Linked DNA regions of Lepisosteus oculatus. The protein of the gene in region 1 purifies or fractionates together with the protein of each later gene. This does not show direct contact. Links are inferred from orthologs where the notes say so. Each region holds a gene or a part of one and is shown in the gene's direction. Other genes may lie near its edges.

The links.
Region 2: the proteins of dcp1b (region 1) and bag4 purify together in Homo sapiens (affinity purification with mass spectrometry; 3 studies listed by BioGRID and IntAct, counting the BioPlex papers as one, with this or other methods). This does not show direct contact. The link is inferred for Lepisosteus oculatus from reciprocal best matches to the Homo sapiens genes DCP1B and BAG4.

Annotation. Positions count from the first base shown.
Region 1 is NC_090702.1:7,871,735-7,883,791, reverse strand, and holds the start of dcp1b (mRNA-decapping enzyme 1B), read left to right. Parts: upstream 1-6,103; 5' UTR 6,104-6,347; coding exon 6,348-6,509; intron 6,510-8,992; coding exon 8,993-9,033; intron 9,034-10,167; coding exon 10,168-10,295; intron 10,296-12,057. UniProt on the Homo sapiens protein: May play a role in the degradation of mRNAs, both in normal mRNA turnover and in nonsense-mediated mRNA decay. May remove the 7-methyl guanine cap structure from mRNA molecules, yielding a 5'-phosphorylated mRNA fragment and 7m-GDP.
Region 2 is NC_090697.1:70,605,111-70,617,080, forward strand, and holds the start of bag4 (BAG family molecular chaperone regulator 4), read left to right. Parts: upstream 1-6,039; 5' UTR 6,040-6,215; coding exon 6,216-6,377; intron 6,378-9,001; coding exon 9,002-9,127; intron 9,128-9,625; coding exon 9,626-9,811; intron 9,812-9,922; coding exon 9,923-10,192; intron 10,193-10,830; coding exon 10,831-11,262; 3' UTR 11,263-11,970. UniProt on the Homo sapiens protein: Inhibits the chaperone activity of HSP70/HSC70 by promoting substrate release. Prevents constitutive TNFRSF1A signaling. Negative regulator of PRKN translocation to damaged mitochondria.

The DNA of each region.
Region 1 (12,057 bases):
CAAGGGTTTGAATACTTTTGTGAGGCACTGCGCATTTCAATTTCCTTTTATGAAAAGGTGATGTCACTTATTTAACGAGTTGAGGTAGAAGAACAATATTCTGAAACCTCATATTGTGAAGCAAAAATTGGTAATTCAGCATACAGTAGCTGATGCTTTTCACAAGCACTGAAAGGTTGTATAATATACTGTAAGCACAAAATAGATGAGGGAAGATTTCACTTGTGAAACAATACATACAATGCAACAGTGTTATGTAATGCGGATTAAATTAAATTTTGAAGGGAGAAATAATGTGTTAGGGTCTAAATACTTTTGCAAACCACAGCACATACAGTACATACTGTACAGTAACTTAGTAAAACAACAGTTAAGAAAGACCACATATTCACAGCACCACAGTGACCCACACAAGGTTATTGTTGTCTAAGTTACAAATATGTAGTTAAGATAACTTACTAAAGGGCTAGAACAATTGTAGAAACTACAAAGAATTTGTTTTAAAAGATTTTGAAAGGGAAACATTTATTTTCTTTTAATCTTATTACTCTAAAATAGTTTTTTTTACAATGTCTAGTTTTTATATATTCTTGTGTTTTGTTTTTCACCACATTCGTATTTCTCTCTGACAGTGGTTATTAGCTTGAAACCAAGGGCGTAACAAAGTCAATCCTTGGTCTCCATTATACGACACTAGTGAGAGATCATAAGACAACTGAACCTTTTATTCAATACAACAACAAACATTTTAATGTAGAATAACACCTTTCATCATAACTAAGGATCACAGTGTAATAACATATTGAGTGTTCGGGGGATGGGGCAGGACAATCAGTCAAAGGCATAAATTACTCTGTAATTGCTTGAATCACTCAATCCCAGTATGTGTTTCACAGTAAATTAAGATGATTTTACCAATCCATGACTTTAGCTTAGTATTGTTATTCTGTAAATTCTATTTTAGTCACTTTGGATACCTTTAGAAAATTTCTAACCACATTACATTCTGTATTGAAATGAAGAGACCTCTTTTCCTGGAAGTGTTTCTGTCATCCTATCAACACTAAAAGAGTTTTCATCATTTGATTAATTAATTAATGTCTTGCATGTTTTGAGTGAATAAATATGTATTAAAGTACTTGACGTATCCTTAACAAAGTGATCTGCTATATGTCAGACTTAAAAACGTAAACCTGATTAATTGTCATTTCTCTATTTGTAATTTCAAGTCCTGCCATGTTTTATAAGTGTTTCCTTGTTCACATTAATTTAGAAATGTAATCAGAAGAAGTGAGTTCAGACAAAATCTTGGAAGGAGCTCTGTTAAGTCCATTTAAGGACATATACTAGAAGAATTTATGCCTTGTGGTAGTATAAATAAATACATGCACGTTATATATAAAAAGGAAAGCCCATTCAGAGTATTTTACGAGTGGGAATTCAAACTGTAACCTGTTCACTTCTAAAGTAATTCCAGTTTTTAACCAAAACAAAAATAAAAAACAACACAAAACTGAAAGGAAGATTGCTAAGCAATGATTCTTTGAGGAAATGCCTACTTTGAGATTAGCTACAGAGAAACAAATCAACCGTTACATTTGGCCATTCTGAAAGTCTTTTAAGAGCAGACCTCAATGTTCCCAGTCATGTTTTCCAGTCCCACGTCATGTTTGTAAAGCTCTTTCCAGATTTGACCTGACTGTACAAGTAAACAAACCCCCGTTCTAGGTAAATAAGGACCAATTGGACAAAGCTTTTCTGCACAATAAAAGCTTGATATGTAACATTTGTTTTGTGAGTTTATACACATTATACATGTTATTCTTTCCTTCTGCATTTATTTAATTGAAGACACTAATCTAGGACAAATCACAATATAAACATTTGACTGACACTTCCTGGATCACCTTTACCTAACAGAAATTAAAACTTGGAAAGCATGCATACATATTAAACTCAACAAAACCAGCCAGCTATAGCAGAAAGAAGCCACTGCACTGTCACATCACTTTTCATCACTCCCGATTTTATTATCTGTGTCCTTTTCCCCACTTCTCCTTGTCCAGTCTCTTAACATCCTAAAAGGATACTTATCCCATCTGCTCTTTAGATCAGCATGCCACTTCTTCCTCTGACCTGCACAGAAAATGCCGTTGTCCGTTTCCACCTCATTAAGTATCATTGATGGGGAAGGCTGTTGAAGAACTTGACAGTTTCATCCCTTAAGCACAGATGAGTCTTTGAATTCTGTAAATGTGTAAACGTTTTCACATTCTTTGTGAAGTATGTTGTTCTGTCTTACCACATTTGTGCTCCTGATCAGAATCTCATAATGTTCCTTCTAGAGCCTCTCAGATGTTGATCACACGTTTAATGTCCATCCCAGATGCCACCCCTGCTGACAGACTTATTTATAAGGAATCTTGGTTTTCCTTTTCTTTTGAATCAACAATCGCCGCATCTTTGTCTGGGAACATTGTCTGGGAGCATTACCTCAATGCCTGGAAAACTGAGGTCATAACGTAGGCTTCCAAATTTTCTTCATACCACCTGAACAAAGGTATGTCTCTTTCTCTCTTTTGTGCATGCCAAGATTCTAAGTCATCTCTTTATATTTCCTAGATAGATTATGATGTTGTATTTTTTAAAAAATACAATACTTCATCACTATGCAGCAGATGGTATCAATCCCTGCCATACATTACTTCAGAGCTGGCGCCTCTACATTGGCTACCAATTAGGTTTTAATTTTCATTTGTATCCTAGTATGCTTCTTTGATACACTGGCAATCTTGTATCTTGTATGATGCTATATATTAGAAGAAATCCTATTTCTAGCATACTCCTTACTTTTATCCCTAACGCAATAACAGCTGAGTTATTTCAGAAATTCTGTATTCCCAGTTAATATGTCCCCGTCAGTCTTATTTTCCAATTCCTATTTGACTCCCACCACAATACCCAGAAATAAATTCTATTCTTAAGTAGTTTCATTTGGATAGGCAAACAGACAAATATTCAGCTATAGAGCTTACAGCACTCCAAGGTTTTGGTAGCCTGGCTGTATTTAATTCTAAATATTGTTATTGACCTCTTCAGTTGAGGGTATTTAAGTTGTTTCTGGATTTGGAAGCATGAGCTTCATATCAACCAATTGAGGAAGCCCTTAATTCAGTCAATTAGAATACAGGAGAATACCGAACCCAGTAATCCCTTGGTTTAGCAAACTTTGCTTTAACGGACTTCAGATTTAACGGACAGAATCTGCTAAAGGTGAATTTTGTCTGTAAAATACCTGGATTTTCCAGCCATAATGGACAAAGTGAATCCAGACAGCAGGCTTGGTTTAAAAACAGGACAAAATGGGAAAAATATAAGAAAAAATGAGTTGTAAAACACATTTAATGTAAAATATTGATTAAATATTTATTGAAAAGCCATTAAGTCTTTCTATTTATTCTCACAACAACCCCTGTATGTAGGATAGTATTCTCCTTAGAAACTCTTGTGTTTCATGCAAAAACTTACAGGCACATATTTATACTTTATATACATAGTAAAAATACTTTAAACAACGTAACAGAGTAAAATGTACTCTGCCATTTGGGTGAAAAGGAATGTTACAGAGATACTGTGGTGGCAACAGATGTGCACTAGTAGCAGCTCAAAATAGCGCTTTTCCTGCTGTTCGAAAAGTACAAGTCAGCTGAACTTATCTAAGGTACTAGTGCCCTCTAGAGTCATAACCACTGCTTTTTTTCTCCTAACAACTTATTGATGACTTCATCTCATATTTTTATATCATGATTCAGTTATGGAAGCTCATGTCTTGAATTGTGTTTCATTTTTTGATCGTTGTCATTCATTTTTTTAAACAATGAAATACTAAGTATTTCTCTTATGTGTAGGAAAAAGCATGGAATATCTCCAATCACATTTTTTCATAAACTCCTTGATTTGCCTTATTTCACAGTGCGCAAAATTCACTAAATCTAAAAGCAACATACTGTATATACACATACGGCACAGGCTTGAAATACCACTCACTTGGTCAAGAGCACTAGACTATCACTAGACTAGACTAAACTCTACTTTTTAAAGTCATGCTGTGCTGTTTTAAGAACAGTTTTGTAAGTAATTTAAAATAAACAATTACTCTACTCAATCTGATTTTGAAAGGACACAGAGAGCCTATTTTCTTGATTGTATAATCTTCTGTACTTGCTTGTACCTTTAGACATGCTAAAGAAATGTTACCAGAATGATAAAGGAAATCAATAGCATAACTGGAGTTCTTGTGTGGCAATGCACACTGAGACATTATACTGCTCTCCTGGAGTAGTATAGACATGAGAGGTGAGGGGCATACAGATACACTACATTCATACATTTAAAAAATGCATTTGTTTAAAAGGTTAAATTATGGTCTCAAATTGACAAAGGTATAGTTTTTGTAACACTACGTTTGTATTCCAAAGCTCACAATATACTGCATTTTATTTTATTGACTATAGCTCTTGGTATATAAAATCTGGTTCGACACTATTCATTTGAAAGTCTAAAATATGTAACAGAGCAGACAAATGTGTGATCAGTTTGGTTTACTGTCACTCATCAATGAATTTAAGAAAGGGTACTTACAAAAGTAGAATTTTCAGTTCTTGCCATAAGGTATTTAAAAATATTGATCTCTTTTTGTAGTTTCTTGAAGAGTTCTAAGAAAACAGCTTCAGCAGCAAAGTTGAACCTCATTGTCCCTGACACCTGTGACTTTTTTTGTATAAAGAGGTTCCTACTATTTTTCAAAGTCCAGAATGCATGTTTTCTTCATTTCTACCTCTGATAGTCTAGTGGGTAGATCAAAATCTGGTGGTCAAAATTGTTCAGGATTTTGAAGACTCAAGTTAGTACATTATCTGTACATAGTGGAAGAAATTTTTAGGTTTATTCCTATGAGACCAAAAACAAACAAAAATTATGTTTTTGGGTTGTTTTTATGGGATGTCCTGGCCACGTGGCTTAGGATATTAAAGATCCCATTACACTGTTTATAAGAGTAGGGATTTTAACCCTGCAGTCATGGCTAAATTTCACTTTGGGCGTGTACAATCTATTCTACCCAAAGTCCTCAATTAATTCAACTGATGAAGAAAATGTTCTTCTTGCTCTCCTGATCTGCTGTGTAGTGGGGCCACTGGTGTATGCTTCTTGATTGTCCATCTGAGTTCTGTCTTTCAGTGGTGGATGAAATGTCTTCTCTCCTACAGAATAAGTTAAGTGCTTTTCGATCATTTGGAATGAAGGCAAAATATAAATTCAATTAATTTCAATGCTGATTTACAGTAAATAAATCATTCATTCTAAAACTGAGTAAGAGATATTTTCACAATTGCAAAATAATAGAAAATACCAGCTATAACAGTACGAAATATAGTGAGATAACTTTTCAAGTATTTATTGTAGGTTAATTATGTACATCGTATTGGTTTTTTGGTATTTGGTATTTGGTATTTGGTATTGGTATTTTTTTTTACTTATAAAAGTGTCCACACTTGAGACTGTGTACACATCATTTGTAGCTGAACAAAACCGGACATCTTTGGAAGAGCACGAATGTTTTTGCAAAGCACTGAACTCCTGTGATGTTTTCTACAAATACAGTATATTCATTGGCCATATTTATTTATGGCACAAGCTTTGTACTGTAGCAGGCAACTGTCTGGCGTTAATATACAATAATAATTATCCATTTTCCATTTAATGTCTTACTAGTACAGTACTTCCAGTCTGGATAAAGCTCTTTTTTTTCAATTATGGGGCTGGCTCGATCTTCATATTTTATTATTACAGATCGGTACTGTATGTCTCTATATTTGCCGTTTTTAAAATATATTACAGGGCTGTCGTGCTATACATGGGGGATACTTGGGGTTCTATGATGACGTGCATTTGCTTAATCAGAAGTGCGAACCCTTTAAGAAATTCGTGTATTCTGCTATCTGTTAGAAGCCTTTTTTATCGCGTTTCAACTTCCCCCCAGTATTCAATCAGTTGTCTCTAGAGTCGATTAGATGACCTGTAATGTGACGCTACAAACGATTAGTCACGTCTGACTGTTTACAGTCAGAGGTGGTGAAAAATGGCGACTTCCTGCTCATGGGTGTACAGCTAGAGTTAATAAAATACCAACTTGACGTTTTTAACTTTAGATTTACTTGATTTTATTTTATTTAATTTTTTAAAAATCTGCAAAACATTCAGATACCATAGAGGTATTTTGGGGGGGATTTAAGTGTTGGGATCAAATTTACTGAGGGCTCCGTATAACCTAACAGAGCAGGGGGGCGATGAGTTCTACATCTGGGATGGTATCAGGCACCTGTCTGGCGGCAAAAGGTTTGGACATCAGCCTGGCAGCCTTGCAGCGACATGACCCGTACATCAACAAAATCGTAGATGTTGCCAGTCAGGTTGCCCTGTACACATTCAGCAACAAAGCAAACGAGTGGGTAAGAAAGCAAACTTAACACTCAGCCCCAGTGGCACACGCTGTTGGGAAAATGTTATCAATATTGTTATTATTGTTATCAGTTGACATAATTTACCTGTATAGCAGAAAGCTTTTCTCCGTTATTTCAGTGATAAAAGCGATGAATGCTGTGAGAATATACGTTTGCAAGGAGTTGCAGGGAAAATTGCGTTGATAACGTACTTCGTTGTTTTGATGATTTTCATCCTGAAGTTTTGACAAACTATTTTGATTGACGTTGTATGAAAAAAAAACTCGTTTTGTTTCGCCTGCGTAAGAGAAGCAAATTACGCGTGCAATGTAATTTAGGACATTAAAACTTAAAACCTGTCGGATAGAACAAAATACCATGTAAAATGATCATTTTTGTATCAGCTTGAATAATCAACGTAATAGTTTATCAATTGCTCTTTTTTTTGTACAGCCTTCTGAGATTATAAAATCAACCTCGTGTCCGAATGTGGAGTTTATAAGGAATAGTAGAATGAAGCCATTTCTTGGTAGCGAAATTAAATTTACCAGCACAGGTAAAATTTATTAAACGTGGTGTTGTGAATAAGGAGAAAATCTGAAGTAAATTCTTACAAATTTCGGATAAACGTCTGTTTCTTTAGTTAATTGATATACCTTTCAGTAGCCAGTTAGAGGAATTTGCGAGTAGAATGCCAGCCCTGTTTCCCCTTTACTTTGGGTACATATCAGGTACATTTCTACATTTACTGTTCTCCTGGCTAACTTAATAAACTACATTTTGATGTCTCACATGCTGTAAAAATGTTCCAGTTCTGTGTTCTGGATTGCTTCAAATGCGCAGTCAGTTTATAAACTGTCTACTGCAGTTCGTAGAATCGAGGCATACATGTGACAGAAGACGCTTTTGTGAGGAACCCTGAAAGCTCCGTGCACTGCAAATGCAGTCACAAACCAATAAACAGATCATTCTTTTCTGAGAAAACCGATTCAGACATTCATTTCCCCCCTCTTTGTGCTTTTAAATAGATTTTAAATAGGTGGAGTATTTTTTTGCCATAGAAAGAGATGGTATCTTTGAGGGGAACGGGATCAGTGTGCTCATAGAAACAATAACATTTCTTTAAAGAAAGTGCTCAAATATCTCGTGCATTCTGTATCTGTTCTTTCTCTAAAAACTTTCTTCTTTCTTAAATAGAAAGATGAAAAGCTTATGACCTAACTTGAAAGGCATGATGATGAAACTTAGTGCTTTCTGTCAAGTTAATACAACACTGTGCTTTTACATTGATCAGGGAACACTGTGTAAAATATGCTTAGCGTGTGGATATTGCTTTGCCAGAAGAGTTTTTTGTTCCTTGCTGGCCTTTTTATTGGCCAGTCAAATGGAAGTGCCAGTCTCATTATAACTATGACACGATCGGATTGGCAGAGAGTCAGGGTTGCAGAATGGGCATTGCAGACTCACTGTAGCCTGTTGACTCTGACTTCAGCTTTAAGATATGCTGTCAAATACCGGTTTCCAGCAAAGCATCTGTCCATCCATGCATTACCAGAATGCTTCTTGTTCCTGGAAACGATCAGTACCACCCTGAGGCCTAGGTCTCACGTGGCGCACACACAAGACAAACACACAAGCACACAGGGACAACTGGGAGGCACTGGTTAAAGTGAGCCAGAATGTTTCTAGAAGGTGGAAAGAAACTGGTGCACCCAACCAAAACCCACAGGAAATGAACTTGCCAACTCTACACAAATATTAAACCATGCACCCAAGAGCTGTGAGCACGTCACCGTGCTGGCATCCAGTAAAGCCAAGAACCGGTATTTACTTTTTTTCATTGTTTTTGCCCTTTTCAGTCAGAGATATCGGACTGCTTTCCCACCATATAAAATATACTGTAGATACAGACCTATATTGGCACTCTCCATGTCCTGCAGTGTTTTTATTAGGCATAAAAATGTTGTTTGGTAAATTTCCTTTTGGCAGTATCTCTTCTGACTGCACAATTTAGCAAATGATAGTTAATACTACTTATGAATAACTTAACCAAGGCATTTTTCTAGTTACAGACAAGTACTTACATCCTGTTTCTACAAATGGTTAACTCTGTAAATCAGAACTGCAGTGTGTTGGGATAGTATAAAAAGCATTGGCAAAGAATTGTTTTCAAAGTGCTCAATTGCATTCAATAAATTAGTGGAAGACAGAGATGGATGGTGTTATAGCTATGGCTATGTGAAGTTTGCTTTCATAACACTATGTTTAATGTGTTCTCTCAATAAGAGTGAAATTGTGTTATAGAAGCATTTTCTCCTTGCCTGCCTTTTAGCAAATTGTTACTCTTTAGGTCTCTGTCATTTTCTTTAAGCCGTAGTGCTTTAATTTAAGCAGTTTTTCATTTTTCGCCGCAAATCTTTTTTCTGAAGGTAGTGCACATCCAGCAGTTCCAGTTTTAAGAGTTAATAACATAATGTTACCTTTCTCTTCAGGAAAAGACTGATGTGGAAGGAACTTTATTTGTGTATACAAGGTAAGGGAGGTACAGTATGTCTGATAACGACGTCTCACTTTATGAGTTGATTTGCCATAATGTATCAGTTTTGGAAGGATAACTGTGGACTATTCATCCTTTTTCTGAGTACTTCATCCAATTCATAGTAGCAGGGTAGTCAAAGATTAACCCAGCAAACACCAAGTGCAAGGCAAGGTAGACTCTGGATGGGACACCAGTCCATCACAGGACACACACAGGCACAGACATGCACACACTCACAATAGGACCATTTTTCCCAGAACATAATTAACCAAATTAATCTGCTGCTGTGGGAGGAAGCCAGAGCACACGGCGAAAACCCATGTTTATGATTCACCTGTAAGATGTTTATGATTCAGGAAAAAACAGGAAACAATTTCCACCAAATGCCAAAATATAATGAAATGTGTAATTTTGTGACCAAAACACAACCTACTGTATGCAGCGTAGGGGGAACACTAGAACAAATGACAATGTGAAGTCTGTTTGGAGCGACACAGTTTCATTCTAATGGATCCTAAGATACAGATGAAACAAAACAAAAAGAAGTTTAGAAATACAATTTAGAGTCTCTTGTTAGATCAATCAAATCAAGGAATGTAGGTAGTGATTAGTACCAACTAGGACTGTAATCCACTAGGAAAAGCAGGTTGCTGTAGTAGGTTGTGTTGGTGGGGCAGAAAGCGTCACTCTTTCGCCTGATGCGACGGCGGCCATAGTGCGCCAGAACGCTCACCACACATCAGCTATCAGTGGGGAGGAGAGCAGAGTAATGAAGTCAATTCATAGAAGGGCATTATTAGGAGGCCATGATTGGTAAAGGCCAAGGGGAAATCTGGCCAGGACACTGCCGGGGTTACTCTCCTACTGTTTATGTTTTGGCTTTCACAAACACTCTACACCAGTCTGTTTTTCTTCATTTCTTGGATGCAGGATAGATCACCTTAAAAAGTGAAGATCTCATGTGCATGTTAAACCCAGTGCTGTACAAAATTTTGATTTTTAAATCCATGTTTGTCTTTAAAGAATTTCTGCAAGGACTTTTTAACTTGATCCATTGCCTTATGCTTAGAGCTCCAAACAACACAATGAAATTTTGCCCTGATTTTTCCTGTTTTATTCTGGTCTTAGGTCTGCCTCCCCCAGGCATGGCTTCACCATAATGAATCGCCTGAGTATGGACAACCTCACTGAGCCAATAACCAAGGATCTGGACTTTCAGCTGCAGGACCCTTTCCTGCTCTACAGGAATGCCCGTTGTAAGTATGTGATAAAATGTATTAACACTGCTGGAAACAATTATTCATTTTTTTTGCTAGCAAAAAAGGTCAAGAAGCTTGTAAGTCCATCCAAAAAAAAATCCTCAAAAATGGCTGGGGCACTCTGAAGAAAAACATGGTCTTTCTATTTACTCCACACACAGTCCATATGCATAGACTGGTGCATGAACTCTTTAGTGAGGAATATAGACATTATCAGGCACCATATTCCTAAATTAAATTTGGAGAAATTAATAGCAATATAATAATTAAACGACATATAGTAATACGTGTGGGTAGCTGCGTCAGCATGCATAGGCTGCAAAGGAACAAGTAATAGGTTTATTCCATGCTGAAAAAAAGAAGAAAGCAAACACAACATTGTTTGCAATGGTCATGGCCGTCGGGGCCGTCTTCAGAGAACACATCAGGGCTGTGAAGATTAAAGATCTCTCCAAGTCTGTTGTTTCTTATTTCACCTCTGACGGCCACGACCACTCTAATCTCTCCGTCTGTGTTCTCAAAGATGGTTTTCCAAACTCATACATCAGAAAGACTACCGAAACCAAAATTATCCTGCAGCTAGGGTCAGACCTTCCCCCTTCTCTTAACGACATACTACTTTTCTTCTAAATTTTCTTCATTCATTAGAGGTTTCATTTCACACCTCTCTACACCTATTCTGACTTCACACCTCTTAATTGGCCTCTCTTTCTGTCCCCTGCTCCCACCTCTCGCTCCTCCTCTCTCCCAGCCTTTGTTCTCCTGCTACATTACCGTTGCCTACTGCCTTGTCTTTCTCACACCTGAAGAAGGCTCCACGGCCGAAACGTTGTGTTTTCTTTCTTCTTTTCTTCAGCATGGAATAAACCTATTACTTGTTCCTTTATAGTAATACACTTTGAATACATGTTGAAATCTGCTCAAAACTGTTACCATGGAAGGATAGAAATATGCACCCAGATACAAATTTTCTAGTGCTGCAAGATGTGTTTCTGTAGCAGGTTGATAAAATTACTGACGGGGTCCACCGGCTGTCAAATCACATTTCAGAAATGCTGTAAATACCGTCAAGGTTATATATTTAATATGGGAAAAGTCTGTGACAAGCAGGTTATTTTAAACTTTTTTTATGGGGTTTTAGTGTCCCTGCTGAGAACACCAGCGATTTGACATGGCATTTTATCTCCCTTATCCACCACCAAAGCCATTTATGTAGCTGCAGCACACCAGGAGTGTAACCTGTGAGGTGAAAAGGAGCCGGATGAACGGTTACAGAGGTGTTCTGCATGGTGATGATTGCAGCCCTTTATAATCAACACCTGCTTTCACAGCAGACAAGACTGAAGACTATTCTCTTAAGTGCGGAAATTAAGTAGAAGGATGTACAAAATTAAAGATGAGTCAGAAGGAACCACGCCCCGATCTGAAACGGAAAAGCACAAGAAAACTGGAAATGACCAGCACTGTACCCAGTACCCACTATACCCATGCAAAACCAAGTAGAATATCCATAAAATGTTACAAGGAATTTTGAAACGTCTCTGAAAAACAGCTAATGGCTAAAGGCACATAACATGATTTTACAGATCATAAAACTGGTTGGAAGAATTGGTTTGTGGCTTAATAAGGAGGACGATAATGAATGAAGAATATGTCAGAAGGAGATGGTGATAAATTTTAAAAAATAGGAATGTTTCCCTTTTGTAAGTTTTCAAGAGGAATTGAGCAAAACGTTTAAGTCTCATTTTCTTTTCAAAGC
Region 2 (11,970 bases), on another chromosome or scaffold:
TTTTTATATGCACAACCAACTCCACACATTCAAAGCAAAAAAGAAATAAGTAGATAATGTGAAAGAAAAATGTACAAGTAGTTTGAAGTATTCAAACTCTTTGCCAAGGCAAACCTAAATTAATTCTACCAGAGCAGAAAACAAATCCTCAAATCCCAAATTAATTCAGCTGCACAAAATAACCTTAACTAGCTACATAGTTAGTTGTGTCATTAAGGACTGGAAAGCACCCATACACTGCCTGCCTCAGTTTCCTCCTTGGCCAGCTGCTATTATGCTGATGGCAACTTTGAAAGAGCTACAGCATTCAGTGGCTGAGACAACGTCCATGACTCAACAATATTTCAATCATTCCACAAAGCTGTGTTGTATGCCAGAGCAGAAAACAAATCTCAAATCCCACACGGGGTTTACAACAAAACATTACAAGACACTGCAAGATATGTGGCAAACGGTTTTGTGTGGTCAAACATGACAATTTTGGAACCTTTTGGTCTAAATGGAAAGCATTTCATTTGATGCTAAACCAGCCTAGTGCCTACTTAGTCCATACCATTCCTACCACCAAGGACGATGGTGGTAACATCATGTTATACTTCTCCTTGTCATCAACAGGGACTGGGAAGTGTGTCAAGACTGATGGGAACATACAGTAGATGGAGAAAAGTACTGGCAAATCTTAGAGAAAAGTTGCTTCACACCTAAAAGTGGCACAAATATTAATCTTTCAGCTTGACAGTGATCCAAGGAGCAAGGCCATATCTACAGATATTACAGAATCTGTTAATATCCTTAAGTGACCCAGTCAAATTCCTGTCTTGCATCTTTTTTACAATCTACGTAGAGACGTGCAAAAAGTTGTTTGTAAGAGATCTCCAAGCAACTTCAGCTTGAGCAAATCTGCAAAATTATACTAAGCTGATGTGCAAAACTACTTGCAGTTGTAACTGCTGTCAACAGTGCTTCCATCAAATATTGAGTTCACAGGTCTAAATACTTAAATTAGCAACATTTATGATTATTAAACAAGTTAAGATAAGATTTTTATTGTCCCCTGAGGGATTTTTTTTTTTATGAACACCCACTTTAAGATTTGCTCAAACTGTCAAGTTGGAAGGGGAGCATCAGTGAACTGCAGTCTTCTAGCCTTTCCACAGACTCTCAGTGGGATTCAGGTCTGGGCTGTTGCTGGGCCATAGGGACTTCATTGTGACTTTGGCTGTGTGCTTGGGATTGTCGTCCTGCTGGAATGTGAATATTTATCCCAGTCTAGGGTCTTGTGCTTTCTGAAGCACGTTCTCCTCAAGGCTTTGCTTGTACGTGGCACCGTTTCCTTCTCTCCTGACACGTGGCCCAGGCCCTGCCACTGAAATGCATCCTTATAAAATGAAGCTGCCGCCACCAGGCTTCTTGGAAGGGATGGTGTTACACAGGTGATGAGTTGTGCTCAGTTTGCACCTGGCATAGTGCTTTCTATTCAGGCCAAAGAGATCAATACTTTTATTTACGACCAAGGACCATCTTGCCCAATTGCTCAGCTATGTTGCATACTGTACCCTACAAACCTGTCTATCTCCTCAGAATTCGGTCATGGAGATGGTTCCTTAGTCTCCATGGTACAGATTCTTTGACATGGACAGTTAGTTGGGGGATCGTTTATCGATAGGTATGGCTTCAGAAGAAATGCATCAACCAATTGACCTGACCACTGGTAGAATCCAGTTAAGAAGGAAGTTCGATGCAGCCAGGCTCTGTTTGGAGTGTCGTAAAAAAAATATTTTAAATTATATGCAAGACAATTTCCCAAACTCTTCATTCCCCTTATTTGTGCAGATCACTGCCTCTCTGACAGACCCACACGTGCACAAGCCGGAGCCGTTTAGATAAACCCACCCCACGCTCCCTGAGTGTGAGATGGTGCTCGGGGAATCCCACTCACAGCTGGCTAGTGGCCTGACTCGGGCTTGAACCCAAGGACCTTCTCCACAGAGAAGTTCAATTTTGTCTCTCACATTAGGCTAGAAGCCAGGGCTGTGGAGTGCTAGGTTAATGGGATGAGAGCTCATTTCATTTCCTCCGTGCACTGCAGTCTACTCAGAACTACAAATGAGGGACAGCCATGTGGTGGTCAGGTGTCCCATCGAGTATGGAGCAATGCACTCGTGTCACAGAAAAAAAAAAAAACTCTGGCCAGATAAAACACACTGCTCACTGTACAGATTTCCCTTATCTTCAACACACTGTTGGTGCACAATACCTGCTTGAGCTAGCCACAAGTAATTAATTTAATATAGCTGAAAAAACAATTCTAAATGAAAAAATCAGGATAAACTAAAGAGCGGGAACAAATACAGTAAGACATGGGTCTTTAAGTATTCCCAGCACCCTATATATATATATATTCAACAGTCAATCACAATTAAGTGTTATATTGCACGAAAACAATACACTAATATTTTTAAAGACCAAAATGTTGACAGTTTTTTAAACAATTCTTAGATTGTTCTCTGTTTATTTACATGGCAGCTCAAAACAGCCACCGTTATTCTGACAGAATAGTACAAAAAACAAGAAGTCCTTTTCATTTAAGAAACATAATATGAAAATAACTACAGCAGCTTAAAACAAGTGCTTTGTTGCGATTTGCCCTGGCGTCCAATGTGACACATATCAAAGGTAACAAAAAGACGATTAGTTTAGATCCATAATTCGCCATTCATTTGAAATACTATTAGACAAAACAAAACGTGGCAAGTTCTGTTAGGGGTAAATATTTTCTTTCCTCTCCCTTCAGGACATGATCATGTTAGTTTGTGAAAACAACAACAACCTGTCATCATCTTGGTTTTAAAACTGAAAGGTCCAATTAAAATAAAAGGGATTCAGTATTCATCTAGGGTGTCTGCTCGTGGGATAGACAGTCCACGGTCCTTAAGTGCTTGTAGTTTTAATTTCTCTGCCTCTTGTTTAGCCTGCTGTTCCTCCCTCTGCTCTTCCAAAATCTCCTCAATGGAAACTTGCTGCAGGACTGTATCACTCTCCTTCTCCAGATCCTAGGAATCAAACACAGACCAGTTTAAGGCTCTCTGCTGATTTGATCTATTTTTATTTGATTAGTTAGATGTGCAGTGTGCTAAGATAAAGCAAGCCTGGGCAGAGAAAAAAAAAGACAACAGATATTCTAATAAGGCTGAAAGTTACGATACATCATCCTCAGTTTCCAAAGTCCTTTATAGGATTACCAGTGGAGCGTCCTTTATAATGTTTTCAAATTTCTGATTTGGAGATAATTTTTTCCCTTCTACATACCCAGAAAATCACAGATAATTTTTTCTAGCATCAATAGATCCAAGTTTTTGACTTCACTTAAGTTCAAAGTCTTTCCAGTTGATTGCAGTGAGATACCTTGCTATCATATGTTCGATAAATTGATCTTTTCAGAGGCATGTTCACAATGTGCTGAAAAGCCCAACTGCGCTACACATCCAGTAATTGTATATGACAAATGTACTACCATAGGTAGTGCCAGCTTCACCCTGCTGTGAGAATCTTTTACTTCCATTACATTTAATCTTCTGGGTATAAGCCAGTGACAGAGCTGTTTTCAAGACAGCATTCAAAGGGAGTTTGAGAAACTGGGTATTTACAACCAGATCAACCGCCATTTTTTCAAGCCTATTCTTTTTTGTGAAATTAGTTTTTCCAGATCAGTTTATTTTCAGAAAATAACAAAAACAAGTCTGTGTATATAGGACTGATTCAAGGAAACCGTTTTCAGAGCCACATCCTTAGAAACATTCCAACTGATGAAACAAGCTGCTATAGAAGGAGAAGCCTACTTACTATTTCTCCAAGCAGAACAACATTTTCCCCCCTCACTATAAATATTCCTCGAGGGATGTCTCCATACTTTCTGCCCACATGGATACGTTCCACTGTTTGATGCAAGACTAAATTAGCTGCAAATTAAACGGAAATGCAGTTAAAAATCCATTAGCAAGGAACTCTCAAATGCACCGATTCGCAGTGATCAAGTTAAAACTTTTTTCTTTCTGAAATGTTAGCTCCAAGATATAAAAATGTGGAAGTCTCAGTTGTCACAACACAGAATTTAGGGATTGTGATTAACATAACTACAGGATTTACCTACCAAGAGAAAAAACAGCAGCCTTTTTCGTTGAAATTGATCACTAACAAAACAACTAAGAAAATTTAACTGAATGCAACAAGAAATGAACTCATTTTAAAGGAACCAATTTCATTTCCGAGTTGTATGATGATACGCATGTCCTGGCAAATTGCATTTTTACGTTATCCCCCAAGTTGAATGCAAGTCACGGAGAAAATCTTTAAAGCTAAACCCAAGTGATCCACAATGATTCATACCAAACTGATCAATACTTCGCAGAAATCCAATCAGTGTTCGCCCGTCTCGTAGAAGGACAAGATGTTTTTCTGCAAAAGAAAAAAAAACCAATACAGCAAAAGATCTTGAGGGTAATCAACAATCAATGTTTTCACTATCGTTCACCACAGGACGTGCAACGACATCATAGTCAGGAACAAATAAAAACAATAACTTAATTGAGCAATGCAATGAAACATTTGATGTTTTAGTCTCCACTCATCGACAAGTATTATTAAATGTTATAGGGAAATAACACATGCATGGCAGCTAGCCGTAATGTCTTATGTCCTTGTAGGTCGGTTTTACCATAACAGAAAAGTAAAATGATATGTGCACGTTTATTTTGCGATAAATTATTATTTTCTAAACCGTTTCGACATGGTTCGACGAGGTGAGAGTTAAGGGAGGAATTGGGACACCTAACCTGAGGCATTCAAATATTGACTAAACAACATCGCCGTTTACTGCATTTTCTAAGCAATACCAGTCACTCACATTGAAAAACAACACGGGGAAAAGCCGCTTTACTAGCTGAAAAAAATAACAATACACCGCTTGCTCTTTCACAACCGAGCAGAGCTTCACAAGATACATTGTAAGGTACGGATCAGCAGTAATTAAACGTATTACTTACTGTCGATATCCTCAATTAGACTCGCTGTTCCCGGCATATAATTCATTTTCTTAAGCGCTATTCAACTATGCTATTTTAAAGTTGGAAATAATTATAAAGAGCCGTTTTCTGGCCATGAATCATTCAAAATGTGTGTATCCTTGCCTTGACAGGAAGTGCAAGGTTAGTGTAAGACCTGCACTTCCTCTGTGATTTAACTCTTTATTTGATGTTCCACTTAAGACAATTTACAGATCTCGTGAAGAGTGAAAACGCTAAATTGGGGATAAAAACATATTTATTGGCATAGTTACTAGTGGATATGCATGTTATAAATTAAATACATTTCACATTTGTCGTGCTCTTTTGTGTGTAACGAGTTGAGTTCTATTGATTGCAAATTTGAAGCAAATTTCAATATCCTACCGGAGAATTAGATATTACGCTACTATGGAGTGAGAGCAGAGAGACTGAAGAAGTTGATTTGTGTTATATACTCCCTATTCGTATTCAGTTGTTTTTAACTTGTCTTGTTCCGATTGAGAAGAGTCAAAACGTTACTGGAATATAAACTTCCCACCATGTCTGATTCAAGGTTAAATAGTATTGATTTTACATCATTAGGATTACCTAACCAATTTATATAATTAGTTATGCAAATTATAATCAAGAGACCAAACTCAATGATGGTGTTAATAAACACAGCCGTTACACTGTGCCATCATATAGCACCACGAAGCTTAAAGGAACGTATTCTGCAAGTAGATATGACAAATATTGACGCATCAAGGATGCGTTATTCCATCCCAAATGTCCCTAGAGATACTTTAGAAGAACCTTTGACGTCCCCTTTAAATTCCCCGGCAAAAACCAGAAGTGACGTCAGTCAGAAGGGCACCAAGACCCCGCTTTCATCTATAGGTCGTTTTCCAGGATGTAGGTGGGACGTGTTTCCGAGTTCTGAACACCTATTGGTCAAAAAATGATTTAACCTATTGACGTAAGAAGAGTGTGCCCTCATGTAATAATTGCCATCTAGGACGAGGAAAGCAGAGTTCCTCAAACTTAAAGGGGCGGTACACGTTTCGCGTCTCATTGTTTTATGTGGTTGTGTTCCGTTTTAAACGCACAGCCACAGAACTCTAACCGTACACTGGTTTAACAAGGAATGTCAAGTTGGTAAAATCGGGCTCAATGGCGTACGATTCGTTAGGCAACGAGAGAGGTCGTGCAAATGGTGGAGATCCTGTATGGGCGATGCACCAAATGCAATCAAATCCCAAAGGAACCTGGCCTCCTTATAGCAACAACTCGGAAAACAACAACTGGAATGCCCCTATGGTGACAGGCAGTCGGGTAAGTAGTGCTTAGCTTAGGATGCATATTGGTGATCTTTCGTGTAACTTGTGGCAGCGTTGAATAGGCTATGGGGCTTATCTTCAGCAGCTACAGTAGGATACCTTATAGATGTTCGAATCTGGTTGAATACCTCGTTTCTTCTTAATTGAACTTTATTATTCATTAATTTCCTTCCAGTATTTTCACTCGAGTGTCACACATTAAACGACTTGTCGTTGTCGTTGTTGTCTTAAGTACCGTATTAACCCCTGTATATTTTTACTATACTGTGCTGATGTAACAGCACACAGGCTTAGATCAACAGAACTATAAGACGGACATTTAAGGCAGACAATAACTTAAATTACTTAAAGCTACTTAAAAGCCGACGTGTAGAAGCAGTTTTCTTAACCACCTAAAAATATTTACTGGCTCGGCATCGTACCGTACAAAGAAGAGCAAATAATTCAAATAATTCCTTATCTTAGGTGCATAGACATTTTACCAAATATAAGGCATGACCAGAGGGAGCATAAAGTTGTCAAATAAACTTTTATTTACAGTGCAGCAAAAATGTGTAAAACTTTGCAAGTTAATACTAAAGTCCAAACCACAGTTTATAAGTAACCAGTGCAGTGATCGCAGGAGAGGGGTGGCATGAATACACGTGATTGATATAGATTTTATGAGGGAGTAAGCAGCACTGCTTTGCACAATTTGAAATCTTTCAGTTGTGTTTTAGAGATACCAGGATCAGTCCTAGAATAATAATAATTAAAAAAAAAACTAAGACGAGTTTCTCAGCATACGATAGTCAAGCAAAATACAAGTACTTCAAAACGATGCTCTAACATGTTGGTGGCCAAACCACTGGTCCTGGAGAGCTACAGTCCAGTAGGTCCTATAGTAACCTTTTAAATCTTAATTCGTAAATACATTGAACTTGTTTCTCAAGTGATTTTGATTTCATTTCAGATCAAAAATTCGTCTCGGAACTGAATGTCCTGCTTCTGTGGTCAAAATGAAATTGTTTCAAGCATTTGAAAATGGATTTAAGGGTGACCTTATGACCAGCTGGATTGTGCCTCTTCAACACCACGGCTGGCCACCGCTACTGTAGCTTCTTATTATACACACGATTATCAAATGACTGCCTTAAACTTCTGGATTTGTCAGTCTGATGCTGAGAACAAACTAATAGAAACTAATAGAACCTCAGTTTTATTATTAAGTTATGAAATTTTGATACCTACAAGATTACATGCAAAGACTGTTAGAGTATGTGACCTAGAAATTAGGTCATTATTATCACCAGCATAGAAACAATAAGTGTTCTGCCTCTGTATTATTTGGATGAAGGGTAATATATACTGTACTATAGTTAGTGGATAACAGAGAGCCCTGTTTTATCGACTCCGATGAACACCAGTAAGGAACAGGTTTGTGGAAGAAGTACAGTGAAGAAGTGATACACACTGTCTTTTTGTACAGACAGGACACAAACTAACAAAGGACAGAGTTAGTAATGCAAATTTTAAATTGTTTAAGGGGATTGTTATAATGGACAGCGTCAAAGGCAAGCAACACAAGAATGGTCTAGCAAACAGAAATGGTCATTAACAAATAATTTACAACTCGAACCACAGCAGTTTATGTGCTGTTTTTTAGCCTATACAGAGACTGAAATGGAAAAGTTTCACTTAATTAATTTCTATTCAGATGGGTTTGCAACTGAAGGATCACACTAGAACAGTTGTTACAAAGAAAGATGTGAAATGAGTCTGCCTTTGCTCAGGGTATTTTTACTTAATTACTTAATAATGAAAACAGGTGGTCATTTTAAGTATTCCAGCAGTCAGGTCAGATGGAGTTTTTTGGAGATTCCAATCATATTCCTTTAGTTCTCAAAGCAGAAATATTTGATCTGATGACAGCTTTCATCTTCCAAAAATCAGTCACTAGATAAAACAGTTTTTGCTTTGGTAGAATGGACTCATAGATTAAACAGATTGAGTGTTTTCTGTCTGATTTCCATTTGCATTCAAATTGACGACCTGCAGAACTGGACCCCAGTTCATCAAGTTTCGGGACAATGATGCCCAGCTGAAAAGTTTAATCATATCCTTCAGTGACAGAGAACCATGATTATAAAGACGTGATTCTAAACTAAACTCAAAAAGATCTGCCACCAGGTTTGTTCAGTAAAACATTTTTTTTCCATGTGAGTGTCAATTAAACATTTTGACCATGGTGTGTTTAAGAATTTTGTTTTGCATTTTTCTTGAAATGACAGCCAAAAAAATAGAATATTAAAAAATCAGTTAACGTTCCAAGAGTATTGATACACGGGGAAATGAAAATATCTCCTCTAAGTAACTAATATAATCACATTGGGAGGATGGTGGTTAATCCCTATATTCAGGTGTAGACAGCATCCTTGGGGTTTGTTAGCCTACTGTTGATAAAGGAATGCAGAACTAGTACCAACATGTTGGACAAAGAGGTCCACATGTACGATTAATCGTCCCCTGAAGGAGCTGACAGATTTTTTGGAGGAGGCTGGTTTTTGCTGTTCTGTAGTACTGCAATACTCTTTGCCGCAGTAAACATGGTAACCTTCTAACAGCTGGTTTGTCTCATAGGACTCAGTACCCTACCCTGGCTATCCATCCAACTACTGGTACCCACCATCTCACCCAGCCGGTCCATATTCAAATACATATTCTCCTGGAACAGAAGTCAATGGACAGACTCCATACAACCCCCAGGTACAGTATTGAGTGATTCTGCTTCACTGCATGACACTCAATCGGTGGACTGGCTCACTCAAGTGTTCCTCCCCTCGGTCTATAAGAGAGGTTGTTTTAATCGCATTATACTATCAAGCTTGATATTCTCAATATTCAAGTGAAAAGCCATGTGCATCAAGTTGTTTCACAAGCTATTACAATAGTAATCAATAATTGATTGGAAAACTGTGTCATATTTTATACTAAGACTAAAGCAGTAGAAGTTGTGGATAATTACATTGGATTAAAGTGGCCAAGTTGGACTGAACTTATGGAGTTTAACATGTTGAAATGAGTCCCTGGCAAGACTGAGTGCAATAACTCTCTTAAAACATATGTTCTGTCAAAATGAGTAAGAAATTTCACTTCCTCCTCTCTTAGTTTATATAGGATGTAAAAGATGTAAAGCTCTGGATACCTTTTGCTTTTGTTGTTTGTGTGCTCAGAGATGCTTTACAATTCCATTTTGCTTCACAGGCAATGCCAGCCTACCATAACGGGGTCTATTCCGGTGCTCTCCACCCCTCCAACCCCTTCTATTGTGGTGATCAGCCACCAGGAACACCCCCATACCCGTCCCAAGGGTGCCCTAATCCTGCGACAGTAGGAGTGGGCCAGCACCCTTCTCACCACCAACGTTATCCCGTTCCACACTGCCAGGGGGTAGGGTACTCATCACCGCTTTCTTCTGGGCTGGCAGCTTTGATACAGAACTAAAGTTACATCACAAGAACCAACAGCTGTTATCCTACTTTTGCGTGTCTCCTCTCCTAGGCTCCTGGTTACCCTCCTGCTTCCTACTCTCACTACGGAGATGGAGTTCATTCAGTACCCCAGAGCCATGCGTATCCTGCTCAGCCTGCAGTGCCCTCGAGACCTCCAGCCGAAGCCTGGTCTCACCCAGGGGGCTACGGGCACCCTTCTCACCAACAGTGGCAGCCAGGCCCCCAGCCACCTCCTGGCCACTATGGAAACCCTTTCCTCTCCACACATCACTCACCCTGGCCCAGCCCTGAGCCTGCCACGCCACAGTACGACCCAAAGGTAACTGATGGCGGGCTGTGAGAATTCGAATATTTTTTGGATTGCTTTGCTTGTGTAACTGCAGAGGGAAAACTAAATGTGCCCGGGGAGCTTCTAAAACAAAATCCTGTTTTGTTTCTGTAATTCCTATAAATGTGTAACACATGAAAAACACAACATATATGTAATATGAAGTAGTTCAGGTGGGTAGCTGCGTCAGCATGCGTAGGCTGCAAAGGAACAAGTAATAGGTTTATTCCATGCTGAAAAGAAAGAATACCAAACGTTTCGGCCGTGGAGCCTTCTTCAGGTGTGATACTGTACATATAATGTAGGGACCTTGAGGACAAGTTGATCCAATTTGTAAGTAAGCTATATCTCTTGCATTATTGAAATTTGTTATGGATTTGGTTTATAGAGCATAGACTAGTGCCAGCCTGTATATTCTTTTGTTAATTATTTGCTGACGAGAAAATAATTCAGGTCTAGAAATAGTGGCTTGGCTTTTGTAAACTCCCATCTGTATAATGAAGTTATTTCTAAGATGATTTTGTTGATCTATACTGTATACCTATTTTGATTTTCACTTGCCAAAGTGTTTTGATCTTTTTCATGGTTTGTGTTGTCACCTGCCTTTCTTTTTTTTTTTCTTTTTCAAGCAGGACTCTCAGTACTGCGGCTACTCCCACCCAAATCAGCCTCCTCATCCCGGTGGACCCAAGCCCAGGTCACCGAACCCTAACCCCGGACAGGGCGGGGAGTACAGCGCCCCCCCGCAGTTGTACGGCAAGACGGGAACGGCACAGGAGCCTGCCCCGCCTCGGGAGGCGTCTCCGCCGAGCGACAACCCCGGCCTGTCCCGGGTGCAGCAGGTCCTGGCTCGGGTGGGCCTGCTGGAGGAGGACGTCGACGAGTTCGTGGGTCATAAAACGGACAAGAGCTACCGCTGCCTGGAGGAGCTGCTCACCAAAGAGCTGCTGGAGCTCGACTCGGTGGAAACCGGGGGGCAAGATCTCGTCCGGCAGACCAGAAAGGAGGCCGTGCAGAAAGTACAAGGCATTCTCGACCGCCTGGAAAGGAAGGCTTTCTAGAGCCTCCCCACGTTTCTTTTAGAAAGATGCACTCCTCCCATCATCCCAGCATTGGCACAGTGGCCCCACATCCTGGTGATCCCTCCTTTTCCTGTTCCACTGACCCCTGTAACTCTTACAGGATTCTCCCATGTATATTTTAGATGAGCAATGATATTAATCATTCAGGCCATCCCTGGTCCCCGAGAGTCCAGTTTTCCAGAACCCAGCAGGATTTATGGGTCACCCATGAACCTTCAAATTCCAGACACTTTCAGCAATTTTCCTTTGAGCACCGAACCAGGTGAGTTATTCAGTTAGACCCTTTGTAGATTCTTTGAAATGAAGCCCTCTTAGCCCTTAAGAACCACCAATGTTTGTTTCTGTCTAGAATTGATCCAAACCTCACATGCCTTCCAAGTTTTAAGAAGTGGAGGATTTAGGGGTGACCCGCAGGACTCTGACCCTCCAGAGCTGGTTTTGCCACCCATGATTTCAGAGGTGTCCCAAGAGTCGCTGTAGTGCACATTCCATAAAAATTAGATTCACCTAATCTTGCTGGGGTATCTACCAACATGGAAAGGGCTAAAGTACTGTTCTGGGGTCTCTTTTTCCCTGTATCGTTTTTTTTGTCACTGATTTTTTGCATTCATTCTTTTATTTCCACTCAGCTGTTGCAGAGACATTCAGAATTGGAGTAACTAGGAGGTGCTGTTTGGGGAAATAATA